Linked DNA regions of Notamacropus eugenii. The protein of the gene in region 1 purifies or fractionates together with the protein of each later gene. This does not show direct contact. Links are inferred from orthologs where the notes say so. Each region holds a gene or a part of one and is shown in the gene's direction. Other genes may lie near its edges.

Evidence for each region.
Region 2: the proteins of TUBGCP2 (region 1) and MZT1 purify together in Homo sapiens (affinity purification with mass spectrometry; 4 studies listed by BioGRID and IntAct, counting the BioPlex papers as one, with this or other methods). This does not show direct contact. The link is inferred for Notamacropus eugenii from reciprocal best matches to the Homo sapiens genes TUBGCP2 and MZT1.

The regions. Positions count from the first base shown.
Region 1 is NC_092872.1:292,086,030-292,093,805, reverse strand, and holds the start of TUBGCP2 (gamma-tubulin complex component 2), read left to right. Parts: upstream 1-4,769; 5' UTR 4,770-4,886; exon of another isoform or gene 4,887-4,981; intron 4,982-6,999; 5' UTR 7,000-7,038; coding exon 7,039-7,188; intron 7,189-7,776. Other genes in the region: ZNF511 (zinc finger protein 511), read right to left, coding at 475-553, 2,404-2,769, 3,590-3,943, 4,566-4,627. UniProt on the Homo sapiens protein: Component of the gamma-tubulin ring complex (gTuRC) which mediates microtubule nucleation.
Region 2 is NC_092877.1:265,287,073-265,294,263, forward strand, and holds the start of MZT1 (mitotic-spindle organizing protein 1), read left to right. Parts: upstream 1-4,183; 5' UTR 4,184-4,292; coding exon 4,293-4,371; intron 4,372-7,191. Other genes in the region: BORA (protein aurora borealis), read right to left, coding at 173-279, 2,787-2,942. UniProt on the Homo sapiens protein: Required for the recruitment and the assembly of the gamma-tubulin ring complex (gTuRC) at the centrosome.

The DNA.
Region 1 (7,776 bases):
GTACAAATGGAGCCCAGCCATGGTGGGGTTGCTTACAGACTTTATTTAGGTTCACAGGGTAGGGGGCAGACCCTAGAAGATACCTCAAGATGGTCCAGAGCAGTCATGGCTGCATGGGCCAACAGTCTTGAGTGTCCTTCTGGGATTCCTGGCGAGCACACCAGGGGCCTGTGCTTCACAGACAACAAGACAAACACAAAGACAGACGAGGGGTCCTCCAGCAGGAGGAGTGAGCAAGGAGGGAGAGGGGAAAAGGCCTGGGTTGGACTCAGCCTGGTCCAAGAGGTGCTTGGCTGGCCCCTGATTTGAGCAGGGGCTCACCAAGGAAGCAGCGCCCCCAGGCCGATCGCTGTGTGGTGGTGCACCTCAGGGGCTGCTCTAAAGCCCAGAAAACATGCTTCTGGGGGGGTGGGGGTGGGGGAGGGAAGGGGTCCTGCTTCATGACCCCAGGGAGCAGCCCGACTCTGTAGGTGCTCAGTGATCTTCATTACTCTCCTCTGCGCTATCATCGAATCCTCCAGCTGCCCCGGGGCCAAAAGCAATTGTAGGGCCTCTGGAATGGAAAGCATACTCCAGGTGAGCCCCTCTACTCTGGCTTTACTGGGGGCTTGCTGAGGTCCTGGGCCCCACCACCACAAATGGTGGAGAGGCCAAGGGCTGGGCTGTAGAGGGACCTGATGCCCAGAAGCAGGCTTGGGGAGGGGCTTCGAGCACTTTTTCACCATCTGCTCTTGGGGGATGCGTCTGCTGCCTCCGTAGCTCCCCAAACCCTCTCAGCTTCCAACTCCCCTTCCTCTGAGACATTGTCCCGCTCCTCCCTTTCAACCCCTAGATACTCTCTTCAGGAGGGATCCAAGCTTTTCTTCATCCCCTAAGATGACAGTCTCTTCCAGCAGGTCCCCTAGCTGAGCCACCACCCCCATTTCCCCAGAACTAGTCATCTCCCTTTTTCCCTTCCTCCTCCTCTTGACCCTTATAAGCAGGGAGCTCCTGGTTTCCAGCCTCCCCTGGGTCACCCTTTCCCCAAATCGGGTCATCTTCACCATCCTATGCTTGAAAATCCTATCAGCATCTCCCATCCTTCCCTTTGCTTCCCCAAATTCTGCCCTTACTTCGCCCAGTGAGAAGTCCTTGAACTCTGTCCCTAATGGACATCAGCTATCCCTGTGGCATGTCAAGGTCACTGGGGATCATCCTACCACCATTCAAATCAGTAGCAGAGTTGTCAAATGGCATCAGGCCAGGAACAGATACCTGGGCCACCCCACTAGAGACCTCCCGACAGGTACAGGAGCTTCCTCTTGGGCTCACACAGAACTTAACTGGACAGTGAGTTTCTGTCTCCCAGACTCCAGGCTCATCACTCTCTTCAGTGCCCTGCTGTTAATGAGCCAGCCCCCAAGCAGGGGAAACAACAGGAACCCAGAGGTTGAGGGAGTTAGGAAGAGTCTCAGGTAGGACCCATTCCACAAGGATGCATGAGGAAGACTGGAAAATGCTTTGCTGAAATTCAAGTGTAGCCCTGGCTCAGATCCTGGGGTTCCCAGTTCACCCAGAAAGTGTTAGCCTTGAGAGGTTCAGCATGGGTCGGGAATCATGTCTCAGATTCTTACTAGCTGTGTGAGCTCAGGCAAGTCACTTCTCTGTCTGCCTCAGTTTGCCTTTATTTTCAGTAAAATGAGGATAATAACTGCACCTCCCTCTTAGTGTTGTTTAAGGATCTATTGAGAATGTATGTAAGGAGCTTGGCCAGCCTTCAAGGGCTCTGTAGATGCTTCGGTGATTGTTGATTAATTATTCACCCTGAAGTCCACAGGACTGAAGCCCCCAACCCTCCAGTTTCTCCTGGCTCCCATGCAAACACACACCTGACTGAGCTGTTCCCTACTCCCACCTTCTGAGTCTCTAGAAGAGTGAGCTCCTCCGAGTAGTTCTGGAGGACAAATGGGCTGCAGAGTTTGTGGAAGGGTCAGAAGAAGCTGCCTCCCAAGTTCTATCCCTTGGAGCCCCCAGTGGCCCTTCCTCATTCCTGGGGTGTGTGTGCTATAATGTTTAACCTTTTTTGCTGAGTGTATTTCAATAGGATGTATGTTTTGTGTGTGTTTAACGGTGATTTGAGAAGGCTTCTTGCCAGGTCCCAAACACCACAGTGAATCGTGAAGCGTTGGCTGGCCTGATAAGTCAGTCAGGTATTGCTCCCTCTCTTTCCCCAGCTAGGCATTGCACTGCCTCCCAATGGGAGGGGAAGGCAGGCTCTGCTCACTGGGGTCGGGGTCCGCAGCCTACGTGCTGAATGTGCTCGTTGGGTGGAGATAGTGTGAGTGAGACTGACGGAAAGAGAGAGACACACACACGGAGGGGCAGGAGGGGGCAGAGAAAGGGCCAACGTCCTCGTCTCCTGACCTGAGGCTGGAGATGTCATCCTCAGAAGGCTCGGGGTCACTGCCTGCCTCGGACTCAGGAGGATCTTCGTCCTCCTCGTCCTCCCCCATATCCTCCCCCATGGGCTCCTCATCGTCGGCGTCGTCTTCAACGTCGTCCACGGGCTCCTCTTCCTCCTCAGGATCCTCCACAGTCTCCTCCATGGCCTCCTCCGGGTCCTGGGCGTCATCCCCTCCGAGAACTCCTCCATGCCCAGAGCCCTGGGCAGCCGAGGCTACAGAAGCCGATGCACAGGCCAGGGACGCAGAGGCCGATTCCTTAGCACAAGCCTCGGAGGCGGACCCCACAGAGGCCGATGCAGAGGATGCAGAGCCCTGCTGGCCGGAACTGCAGAGGAGAATGACTGGGGCGTGAGAGCCCTGCAGCCCCCCCTTCACCGATGACGCCCCTCTGGCGTCCTCTGGTAGATGCTCAGGCCCGGATGTCCACCGCCCCTCCCCGCCCCCACCCCATCCCTCTCCAGCGATGCTTGGCCCCGCCCCCACCTCCATCCTTCTCCCTCCCCCTCCCCTCTGCTCCACTCTCCCCCGCCCCCCCTCGCTCTCCCCGGCCTCCGCCCCTTCCCCCTCCCCTCCTCGCTTCCCCCCCCCCACTACCATTTATCCCCCATAATGATCTGCCTCCCTCCTCCTCTTCTCGCTCTCTCCATCCCCCATGATGATCGACCACCTCCCTTCTCTCCCATCTCTGCCCCCACCCCTATCCTCATCCATCCCCAATAATGATCGACCATCTCCCTCCTCTCCCCGCTCTGCCTCCACCCCCATCCCCATCCATTCCCCATAGTGATCAACCATCTCCCTCCTCTCTCCGCTCTCCGCTCTCCCACCATCCCCAGCTCCATTCATCGCCCATAATGATGGACCACCTCCCTCCTCTAGCCGTTCTCCACCCACCCCCGTCCGCATCCATTGCCCGTAATGATCGACCACCTCCCGCCTCTCCCCGCTCTCCACTCACCCCCATTCCCACATTCCCATTCCTCGCCCATAATGATAGACCGTCTCCCTCCCCTCCCGTGCTCTGCAAAGCCCGCACCCCCGCCCGCCCCTCCCTTCCCACTTTCTCCGGCCCCCTGCCTACCCATCCCTCTTGTCTTTCGCTCTCCCCCCAATAATGATAGCTCGCCCCCGCCCTTCCCCTCTACCTCTGGTTGTCCTGAGGAGAATCAAACCAGAGATGGGCCGGGTAGTGGTGGACGCGGATCAGATGGTCCGTCTGCTCCTCGGGACTCATGAACTTGTCGGTGCAGCCCCACACCGGGCACTGGTAGTAGAAGGGGATGGGGCGGCGCTCGCGCGCGGCCGCAGCCCGAGTGGGCGAAGACGGCACGGTGCCATGGCGCTCCAGGAGGTGGATGTCCAGCAGCTGGTCCGAGGGGAACGAGCGGCGGCAGAAGGAGCACGCATTCTGGTGCAGCGTCTGGTAGTGACGCACGTAGCCCGGCAGGGAGTCGAACACCCGATCGCAGCCCCCGATGTGGCAGCAGTAGGCGGGCACCCTGCGGGGAAAAAGCGGCTCGCTAGGACCCTTCGAGGGGTCGCCCGCTTGCCGGCCCATCGGCTCATCGGCCGCCCATCCACCGCCCATCGGCTCCAGAGGACCCTCGGCGGACCCGCTCCGCAGCCGACGCCAGAGCCCGGTTCCGCTGGCCGGGCTCTTCCGTCGGTTGCGGCTTCCCTATCCCGGGGAAGGGCGGCTACAGCACCTTCGGGTGCTGAGGGTGTCTCGTAGGGTCCCCATCCTGGAGAGCAGAGGGCCGAGGAGGGCACGACCAGAGATATGGACCGAGCCCCGATCACCGCGACGATGACGAACCTTTTTCTACGACGAACCTTTTTCTTACCTCCCACACCCTCCCCACCCCCTGCAGACCCCGCCTCTCTGCCTCGCTTTGGCCGCAGACCCCGCCTCCCCACCGCAGTCTGGCCGCAAGCCCCGCCTCTCAGCCTGTCTTTCACCGCAGACCCCACCTCTCCGCCTCGGTCTCCCCCCAAGACCTACCCCTCCCTCGGTCTCCTCCAAGGCTCCACCCCTCTGCCTACGTATCGCCCCAGGCCCCGCCCCATAGCCCGCCCCTCAGCCTAGCTCTCATTCTAGGTCCCGCCCAGAACCCACGTGACCTCGAGCAGCAGGTGTCCTGGCACAGGCTGGGGTCACCCCCGTGGCAGGTGGCAAAGCACATGCAGCTGCGGGGGGCGGGCAGCAGAATGGGTCCCCCTGGCTGAGCCTAGACCCAGGCAAGCCAGCAGCCATGGAGAGGGGAGGGATGCCAGGGGGGCCAGCTCCATTTCCCTCTCCTCAGCACCCCCCCACCGCCCAGCCAGAGCCTGGAAGCTGGAGGGAAAAGACTCGTGGCGTCACTTCCTGCTCAGGAACTACTTCCGGGTCATGTCTGAGCCGAGGCGGGAGTCGGCAGGGACCGGACAGTAACGGGATCCAGGGTGAGTAAGGAAGGAGAGGAGTCTGCCAAGGGGCGATCAGGGTCGGAGCTCCTTCTCCCCGTTCCTGCTGCAGCGCCCCCAGGGCCCCCCAGCGCGTACGTACGAGCCAAACAACTTCCGGTTCTCATCCGTGCCTGGGACTGAACGGGCTGGCGGGACCAGGAGGGCCCCCTTCCCCTCCCGCGCTGCGAGCTCTCTTTCCCCTCCCGCCCCCAGATAGAGCTCCCCTCCCCCTCCTGCCCCCCCACCGGACCCATCCTCCTCCCCGCAGACTGCAGCCCGAACAGCGCCTCCTGCGCCCCTCCCCCTCCTCTCTGCCTCCCTTCCTCTTCCTCTAGGACCCCGGACAGCTCCTGCTCCTCTTTCCTCCCCTCCTTCCTCTTCCCAGGACCCTGGACAGCTCCCGCCCCTCTTTCTCCTTCTCCTTCCACCTCCTCCCAGTACCCTCAACAGCCTCCCCCACCCCCCATCATTCTCCTCCTCTTCCTCCTCCTTCCTTCCCCAGCATGAGTTAGTCCTAACCCCTGTGGATTCCTGGGGGCTTGGGGTCCACTCAGATCCCTCAGAGTCCCAAAGTTGTTGGCAAGAACAGCCACCAGGAAACAGGGAGAAGCTGGGGTTAGAGGCCCCCAGAGTAAACTTTTCCGCAAGGAAAAGCCCTGACTCCTTTGCAGGAATTGGGGCCTCAGATGGGAGCAGCCTGATAGGCACTGACCATCTCAATGTGTCTTTGTCAATAGGGAGGGCCCACTGTGAATGTGCCAGTAAAAGTCTCACTTAAAAGGGAGTGCTGCTCTCTGGCTGTGGGTCTGGCCTCTCCTCGAGGAGTCCGCATGAACCTCTCAGACCTAGGGATGGGGAGCTCCTGAGAGCTCACCCCAGGCCTCTTCCAGCCTCCAGGCAAACCCACAGGGAGGTCCTGAGTTTCTTCTCCCAACCATTTCACAACTCCCTGAATGTTTTCTGTTTGCTCTCTTTATGCATCCAGTTCCGAATTGCTCTGTGTCCTCATCTCTCTGTCTTCACCTTCCCCACAGTGGGGGGCCAGGGTATTTGAGGAATATCCTCAGATATCCTCATGCAGTTAGCTGATGAGAGGGCCTCTTTTGACAGAGGCACATCTGAAGGCTTTGGCTTATTTGTGGGGTTTGCCCCACAGGCTGTCACTCAGACTTATCCTCTTTCCCTCTTCCTAGGCCTGAAGCCTTGTGGCTCTGCCTTTGTGACCCCTTTTGTCTGATCCTGCCACACCCCACTCCCACCTCCTCATCACCTTGCTCCTGAACCATTTCAGAAGTCCAAAGTGACTCTTTCTCCCCCACACCTCCAACTCAGACATCTTCAGGCACAAATACAGCAGGCTGTGTTTGGCCCCTCCTGCCTCTCTGACCTTTTTCTGGCTGCCCCCCAGTCTAGAATGCTCACAGCTGTGGGAAGCCCTCCTCCCTGCTTCCACAAAGTTCTTGGTGTGTTGTCTCTTCAGATTGGGAGCTCCATGTTGTTTCCTTTTCTTTGAATCTCTGGCACTCAGCACATAGTAGGTACTTCACAGATGTTAGCAAATTGATGGTTTACTCTTCAAACCCGCCACAGTGCTCAAAGTGAGAACCCTGGAGTAAGAAAGGTTTGAATTCAAATCCTACCTCAGACCCCTCCTAGCTAGGTGACCCTGAGCAAGTCACTTCACTGCTGCTTGCCTCCATTTCCTCAGCTGTAAAGTGGGAGTGGTAACAGCACCTAGATCCAATGAGATAATAGCCCAGTGGAGCACTCAATAAATGCTTATTCCTTGCCTTCCTTCCAAGACCCATTCGGTTTTTTTTTTTTTTTTACCATTCTTTTAATCTGGCTGTTGCTGTTCAAAAAGGTAGTTGAATAGAGCAGACATCAAAGGAGACAAAGGAGCATCATCCCAATTCTTGGTCCACTCCTGCGTGCTCTTGATGCAGGTTTTCCATTAGGTTTGTTTCTCCTTGAGAGACTCTTATTTCATCCCCTGGAGACAAGAGAAGGGCTTGGATAGCATCCCTGTCTCCCTCTCTCCCCCCCCCCCCCCCCTCCAACTACTTAGCTGGTCCTCCATTTTTAGAGAAATGCTTTGCTTTGCCCTCAGGTGAACACTTTGTGATGTTTGTGACCCAGCCCCAGAAACATGAGTGAATTCCGGATTCACCACGATGTGAATGAGCTGCTGAGTTTGTTGCGTGTCCATGGAGGGGATGGCGCCGAGGTCTACATCGACTTGCTGCAGAAGAATCGGACACCCTACGTCACCACAACTGTTTCTGCACACAGCGCCAAAGTGAGCCCCCAGAACTCCCAGTCAGGACCTGGACACCTTTCTGGCCTTCAGCTCCCTCAGAGCAGAAGAAGCCCCTCCAGGGCAAGGCCTGCCTTCTGTCTTGTTTGACCTAGCACTGCACATAAAGCCCAGTATGAGTGGGCGCTTTGTAAATGTTTATGGACTGACTGCTGAGAACTGAATACATTCAGGCCTTCTGAAGAGAGGCCTTTTGGGGCAGGACCAGGAAGCCCTAGGTTCAAGGTCCTCCTCTGATCACACACTGGCTTTGTGTCCCGGGATGGGTTCCAGGCAGGAAGTTACAGAGAAAGTGGTAGTGCTAGCCTGCTGCAGTGAAGGGAATTTGCTCCCCTGGGATTTCCCAAGACCAGAGAAATGAAAGGGGCCGTTTCAGCCCTAAAATCTTTTTAAAGCCAATGTTAGCATTCTAGGATGTGTCATCACAAGCATCAACTCTTCTCCAGCAGATCCCCTGATGTCATCTTCGGTACTGACCTCAAGTAGCCCCAAATTAATTTTTCCTGAATTCCCAAAACACAGGTTTTTATTCATACTCTGTCCTGACAATCCTGCAGCACCATTTACTAC
Region 2 (7,191 bases), on another chromosome or scaffold:
ACAATCTATACTCTCTGAAAGTGAACCATTCTTGTAATACATCTCTATCTGGCATGGTGAATCTGCACAAACTACTCCACCTTGCTGCCTTTATATCAATTTAAAGGTTTCATTTTCTACTACTTTTCAAGAGCAGGTTATTACACTTCAGGGCAAGTATACAAAAACTTACCTAGAATGACTTAAATATATAGCTTGACGATGAACGTCTTCTGGATCTATTTCCACAGGATTTATGACAGCAAGTTGATCAATAGACCATCTAAATTTCCCTGGAGTCTTAACAAAAAAAAGAAACGAACATTTATGAATAAAACGGTGAGCTGCACAATGTTTACTATTCTATCAAAAAACTAATAAAAGTCACCTTCAGGAAGACTAGGAGCAGCCAACATTTAACACAATGTTCTCTAAAGCTAGTGACACATTAACATTGGGGTGGGTGGAGGGAGTCAAAAGGGTAGGAGAAGCAGGGCAAGAGCTATGATTTGATCAGAATAGGGAAGCCTGGTATAGAAACTCTCTCCATCAACCTAGATGAGCAATTGATCAGGAATTAGTCTTAGAAAGTTGCCTGGGGCACTGAGAGGTTAAAATATTGGCCCACAGCTAGTAATGCTACATGCAGGACTTGAACCCACATCTCCCTAAACTTCTTTAATATCTACTATGATATTCTGCCTTTACAAAATTAGAATAAAAACTACTAAAACAAAAGGTAATATGGACAAATTTACTAATTTCTATTTTAAATAATCAAGACACTCCATAGGGACGAATTTTGAATAAATTAATAACAACCAGTCAGTAAATAAGAACGTAAGTGCTTGCTATGGTCTGACTTTTCCCAACAAAGAAATATGCTAAGGGAAAATTGTGGATGTAATGAAAAGACCCCTGAAATTGGGAATCAGAAGACCTACATTCAAATCCCTGCCATGTTACGTTAGTGATATGTTGTCTGTCAGTCTTTTTTAGTTGTCAGTCATATCTGACTCTCTGCAACCCCATTTGGGGTTTTCTTGGCAAAGACAAGAAGTTTGCTATTTCCTTCTCCGGTTCATTTTACATGTGAGGAAACTGAAGCAAGCAGGGTTAAGTGACCAGCCCAGGGACACACTGAGAGTAAGTGCCTGATACCGGATCTGAATTCAGATCCTCCTGACTTTAGGCCACCTAGCTGCCCACATTAGTTATATAACTTTGAACAAATCTGATAACTCCTCTGTATGCCTCAGTTTCCTTACTTGCAAAACGGAGTTCAATAAAACACATGAACAAAGCAGAACTGCATGAAAGAAGAGGTATAAAGCATGCCAGTGAAAGGAATCACAGGAAATCATGTAGCAAAAGAGAGAAACGATGATATCAATAACCACTAAAATTTGTATGGTACTTTAAAGTTCACAAAGTAGTTTACATACGTTACCAAGTCAGAGCTCAGGATGAGGCGAGGCAATTGTTACGTGTATTATTAACCCCATTTTAAAGCACAAAAAACAAATCTAAGGACACTCTGACTTGCCCAGGAACATACACATGGCCATTAAATGTGAAGGGGCAGTATGTAAACCTATGTTTTTCTAAGTCCAAGTCAAATACTCCATCCCCTACACCATGTTGCCTCACCAAATTGGTGACATTCATAGAGTGCTTTAAAGTTTGCAATGCAATTTACATAGATTATTTCAAGTCTCACAACAACTTCATGAGGCAAAAGGAAAATGAAATTCATTGAGGTTAAGCGACTTAACTATGGTCAAAAAGTGAAGAGGTGTCATAGGCAGATTTTGAGCTCAGGTTTTCCAGATTCCAACTCCAACATGTAACCCACACTATGTTGCTGTCAGCCATATATGAAAGATAGCCTTTGTCTTTCACTGCATGGACCCCTCTCTAGAAATGTAGAAAAAAATCCCATCTCTTTGGATAGGGCACTCATTAAAATTTATAGGAGGACATAGTCCAATCTTCCAGGATGAGGGCACATATATGAGTTACAAGGCAGGTTTCTGAAAGGAATGTCTACAGTGTGATCAGAGATCCAATGAATCTTCTGTTTCATGGGTCACCATGGACAAATAATGAATTGTTTAACACCCAACCTCTTGTTGATAAGTTTGTCTATAATGGATCCTGAAAAGCACTGAACTAGTCTTAAAAATTTTCTACCTAAGTACAACCTGCCAAATTTATGCTGTTAGTATGATTAAGAATCTAAAGTTACCTTCATAGTAAGACGACATCAGAGAACCTTCCTAGAAATTCAGTAAAAAGTTATAATCCCAATCTATTTTAATTAAATGCATTATCACCATGGAATCTGTGATGTTAGAACTTCCTGATAAAATGTGTCAAGTTAAAAAGATGAACTCAGAGAAATTTTTGCTTTTCTTTAGGCCATCCACAAGGCTTTACTGAATACTACTTTGGGCTAAAACTGAAGAAACTTAGGAAGCTTAAATGACTTCATATTTTTCACAAACTTCAACAAGGAAACCAACTATGGAGACTGAGATGTGCACTGACTCTGAAAGCAGACCTAAGCATTAATCTTAGCTTTGGCACTTCCTAAACATGATGACTGCTGGCAAGTCTATGAACTCATCTTTAAAATGGAGATAACATGCAGCCAACCAAGTGCTTATAGCCATAAAGCACTATTAGTCAGGCACTGCTATTATTGCTATTAACAAACATGTTCTCTAAGTGTCACACTGTTACCTGTAGTGAGGAAATGTTTTTATTTGAATATATTTTTATAAGTCATATGATTCAATTCTTACGGATGAAGATTTTGTAGATTTAAATGCTGAAGGACTGGAGACGATTTGTTCTTGCAGGCTGGAATAATCACTTGGACTTTCAAAAGGATTTAGGACAGTGATCTTTCCCGGAGTTTCCGGTGTTATTTGCATTTTAGCTTCTTTGACATCTCCCATAGCATAAAACTGAAAGAAAATCACAGACAGGATCATCAGTTTTCCCTTATTGAAATCTGACCATAGCATTCATGACAATCCTTTACAAAACAAGAAGAAATGACTACAATGTTAAGAATAAAATTGTGGCTTCCAACAATAGAGGATGGTGTAAAATCTTGTGAAAAAATTTAGAGTGGAAACAAAGTAACCTTCTCCCCCACCCCCCACAACCCCACTGAGGAACTTTGCCACATGCCTGATCAACAAACTTAAACTTCTCTCTAACAGCTTACCTCGATCTACAAGAACTCTGTGGTATTTCAGCAAACTCAGCTAGTCAATTACTCAGGAGCCGTGCTAAGCCATGGGGGCACAAAACAGGGCAGAAGAGGGCCCCTGCTCTGAAGGAGCTCACAGTCTAAGGTGGGTGAACACATGCAACCTACGTACAAAACAAGACTTACAGAGGACAAACTGGGCATTAATAAGAGAGGGAAAGCACACACCCTCTCCATTCACCTACACAGCCTCGGCTCATCCAACCTTCTTTTTAAGGTCTATGCCATTACTCCAAAACAATACGCTTGCTCAGGTCTGGGCCAGTTACAGGCTCACGTTCCCTAGGTGGGCAAGGGGTCTAACGTTTCCAGGACAGGACACAAGGTGGCCTCCATCCCGAGACAGAGGAGGGGTGCCAGTAGGGTGAAACGTGCCTTCCCAGAAGTTCCACAAAGGCAGCCTCGGTCTGCCGGAAAGAGGAAGTTCAGAGCTATCCCCGTTCTCCCCCATTCTCCTAGGGCACGCTCGGCGCGGGAGGACTGGCCAGCAAGGAACCCGGGAAAAAAGCAATCCCGATACAATGAGGGGGTTGAAGGGGGAGCCCCTCCAGAACACGTACCTCTAAGCCGTGGGTGAGAAGCCACGATTCTCACGGTGCGAGAGCTGCAGAGATGGAGAATCCAGGTAGTCCTCCCGGGGGTCCAGCAGCTGCCGCGGCAGCAGCAGCCAGCTACTCTTTAACTCCCAGATTCCGAGATGCCGAGGACCAACCAGGGCTCGGGGCTTCCGGGAGCTCAGCCAATCGTGGCTGCGAGCCGTCCTCGAACTGGCCAATCAGACGGCCATCGCGTAGGAAATTCGAATGGAAACTTCGCGCTTCACGCCCCCATAGTAACGAGGCCCCGGGATTCAAACGAACGCAACTTTATGGAGCGCCTCACGGCGGCAGACACACAGCGCGAGGGGCGGAGCCTCCCTCCGGCGTGAGGAGACGACGCGCAGCCTGATTGCCCGGGAGAACAGGACACTACCTCCTGTTCCGGGTCAAACGGTTCTCCCGCTTTTCCCCTGCCTTGGCGGGCAGTCGCCATGGCAGGGAGTAATAGCGGCGCTGCGGCTGCGGCGGCCGCCGCGGCCAACCTGAACGCGGTGAGGGAGACCATGGACGGTGAGTTCCCGTCCCTGTCCCTTCTCCTCCTCTCCAGTTCGCAGGCAGACGCGGGGCCCAACGAAAGGGGTGGTTCCGTTGGAAGCTTGAGAATAACCCTCCTTTTCCCGGACCGCTTCCCCGACAGCCCCGAGTCGGTCGACGCCTCGCCTTCGAGGGGAGCCTCCACGGCTTCTACGTACGCGGTCGCGCGCGTCGTCCCGTTTCCCCACGTCGGCGTCGCGCTCCTGGCGCCCGGAATGTGCGTGGGTCCGTTATCCCTCCCTGGTCTGGGACCCCGGGGGTCGCGCTCCCTTCCTCGGCCTCCTCCCACTGTTTGCTCTAAAGCGGATCCAAACGCGGTCCAGCGCGGGGGTGCTGGGAGGAACTCTCGTGGCGTCGGGTCGGGCCGGGTCGTGTGTCCACGCACTGAGTGTGGCGTGGGCCACGGGAACCCACGTAGTGTCTGTGCACTGGAGGGTGAGCAAAGTGAAAGGCCCGGGAGCGTCTGGGTGTGTAGGTGGGAACCTGGGGGAAAAGGGCCTGCGTCTGGATGAACGTGAGCCCGATGAAAAGAAGAAAAAGTTGCGGCAGGGCTTGAGTTTGCGTGACTTCACGTGATGAGATTGAAATTCCTTAGGCAGAGATGACTGAAGTGTTTGCTATGAAAGAAATAATAGCTTATGCAAATGGTAGTTTCCTCAGTCTCTGCTCGCGAAGCAAAAGGTGCCGGTCCAGTCCTTGCAGAGGTGATGATCTTTTACAATGTATCCTGATTATTTACAATGTATCCTAATTGTAACTTATTTCTATGCGGTTGTTTGCGTGTTGTCATGGGAGACGCTGGCGCAGGACTGCTCACCACAGGGCCCAGATTGAGACATTACAAAGTAAACATAGAAGGCACAAATATAGAGTATCCACCCCACATATTCCCACCGACTGTCTGTGCTCAACCTGTGGTAGAGCATTCCAAGCTCGGCAGTGGTCTGATCAGCCCGCTCAGACGTTGGAAGTTGAGTTTATGTGGTGATGTCATTTTGGTCCTCTTCCAGAGCCAAGGACCACAATCAACCCAGTTAGACTGAGTTTCTTGAAAGCAGGGACTGTTTCTCCCTTTCTGTGCCTGGAGCACAGAACCTCAAACTCAGTGGACCATTAATAAATACTGTCCACCAGATGTAATTGACTTCCCTTAACCTGCATTATTCCTATTTCCCTTTCTTGTATTGCACTTCCCACTTCAGCATTTTCCAAATATGCTCCGGACTCCCGTCGTTTGAAAAGAAAAATGCCCTTGAAAGACTCTCCCATCCTTTCATTCTCTGAATCTGACTCTTCCCATTTACAGGCCAACTTCTAGAAAAAGCTGTTTATACTCTTTGCCTCCATTTCTTTTCTCAATTCTCAAACCCTTTAAGTCTTACAGCCTCATCACCCAAGTGACACTGTTCTCTTCAAGATTACCCGTGATATTTTGTGGTCTTTTCATATCCTCATTCATCATAAGCTCTTTACAGCATTTTACACTCCTGAATACTTTCTTCTCTTGGGTTTGCTTGCTTCGTTCCTTTTGCTTTTACTAGTCTAACTGCTCCTTCTCATGCTCCTTTGCTGACATCATTCATATCCTACCCTCCAACTAGTTAAGTTCGCTCTCTTCTCTCTGTGTCCTCATTTTTGGTGATCTCATCAGCTCCCTTGATTTCAATTTCCATCTCTATGCAAATGACTTAGAATCAGGGGTGAGGAACCTTCGGGGTGGGGAACCTTCAGCCTGGAGGCCACATGTGGCCTTCAAGGTTCTTGGGTGCAGCCTTTTGACTGAGTACAGTACCAACAAATGCTTTTTTTAGGCCAAAGGTTCCCCACCCTTGATTCCTAGATCCTAGTGGAGATAGCCTAAGTCCCTTACCATCACTGAGGGGATTTGTGATACTGCTCCATTCCTTGGTTCTTTTGCCATTCTTACTACTATTTTTTAATCTTCTGATTTAATCTTCTCTGCTGGATTATAATTGACATCACACTTTCTAACCTCTCTGAAGTTCTGGGTTTACCACTTGTGATCATAATTCCCAGTTCAATATATCCAGTCCCAGTTTCTCCCCTGATTTCACCATCACCAAACTGCCTTTTAGACATTTGAAACTGAATTTCTAGAGACTTCTTAAATTCGACATATCTAAAACAATTTATTATCCACCCTCCCCACCCTTCAGCAAAAAAAAAAGTACCCCTCTTCCAAATTTCCTATTTTTTTGTAAGGCATTATTTTTCTGGTCTCCCAGATTTGTAATGTTGACTTTACACTCAAATCACTCCACATAACTCAGCAGGATTGTTGGGGTGTCATGGTGTGTTGCAGGGTTGTCTTGAAAGAATTCACAAAGACCATTTCCAACCCAAGCAAAGGCATCTATTGATGATAACAATCTCAGAAAACTGGCTAGGCTCCTTAGAGGAGCTAACAGCTTAGCAAAGCAAGACAGGAATTTTTATAGAGCAAATGGTGTTATTAGCATATTGGAATATATGAATATTAAAACATAGGAGGGATTTACTAATATGGGGAGAGGTCCTGGCCTTGGTGGAATTGCACATGTGGCTACCCATAATGCATACAGAAAACCCCCCGGGGGGGTTATTAATGTAGGATAATTATAATAAGCCTCTCTACATCACAAGTTTACCTAAAAGCTATCACTGCACAGGCATCCACTTATGGAAAGAAAGTCCCTTCTGTGATTTAGTGATCAAACATCCTGCTCGGTATCCTTCTGGTGCTGCTTTCTTACTGACTGACTATTGTGGTCTTGCCTAAAACTAGATGGATATGGT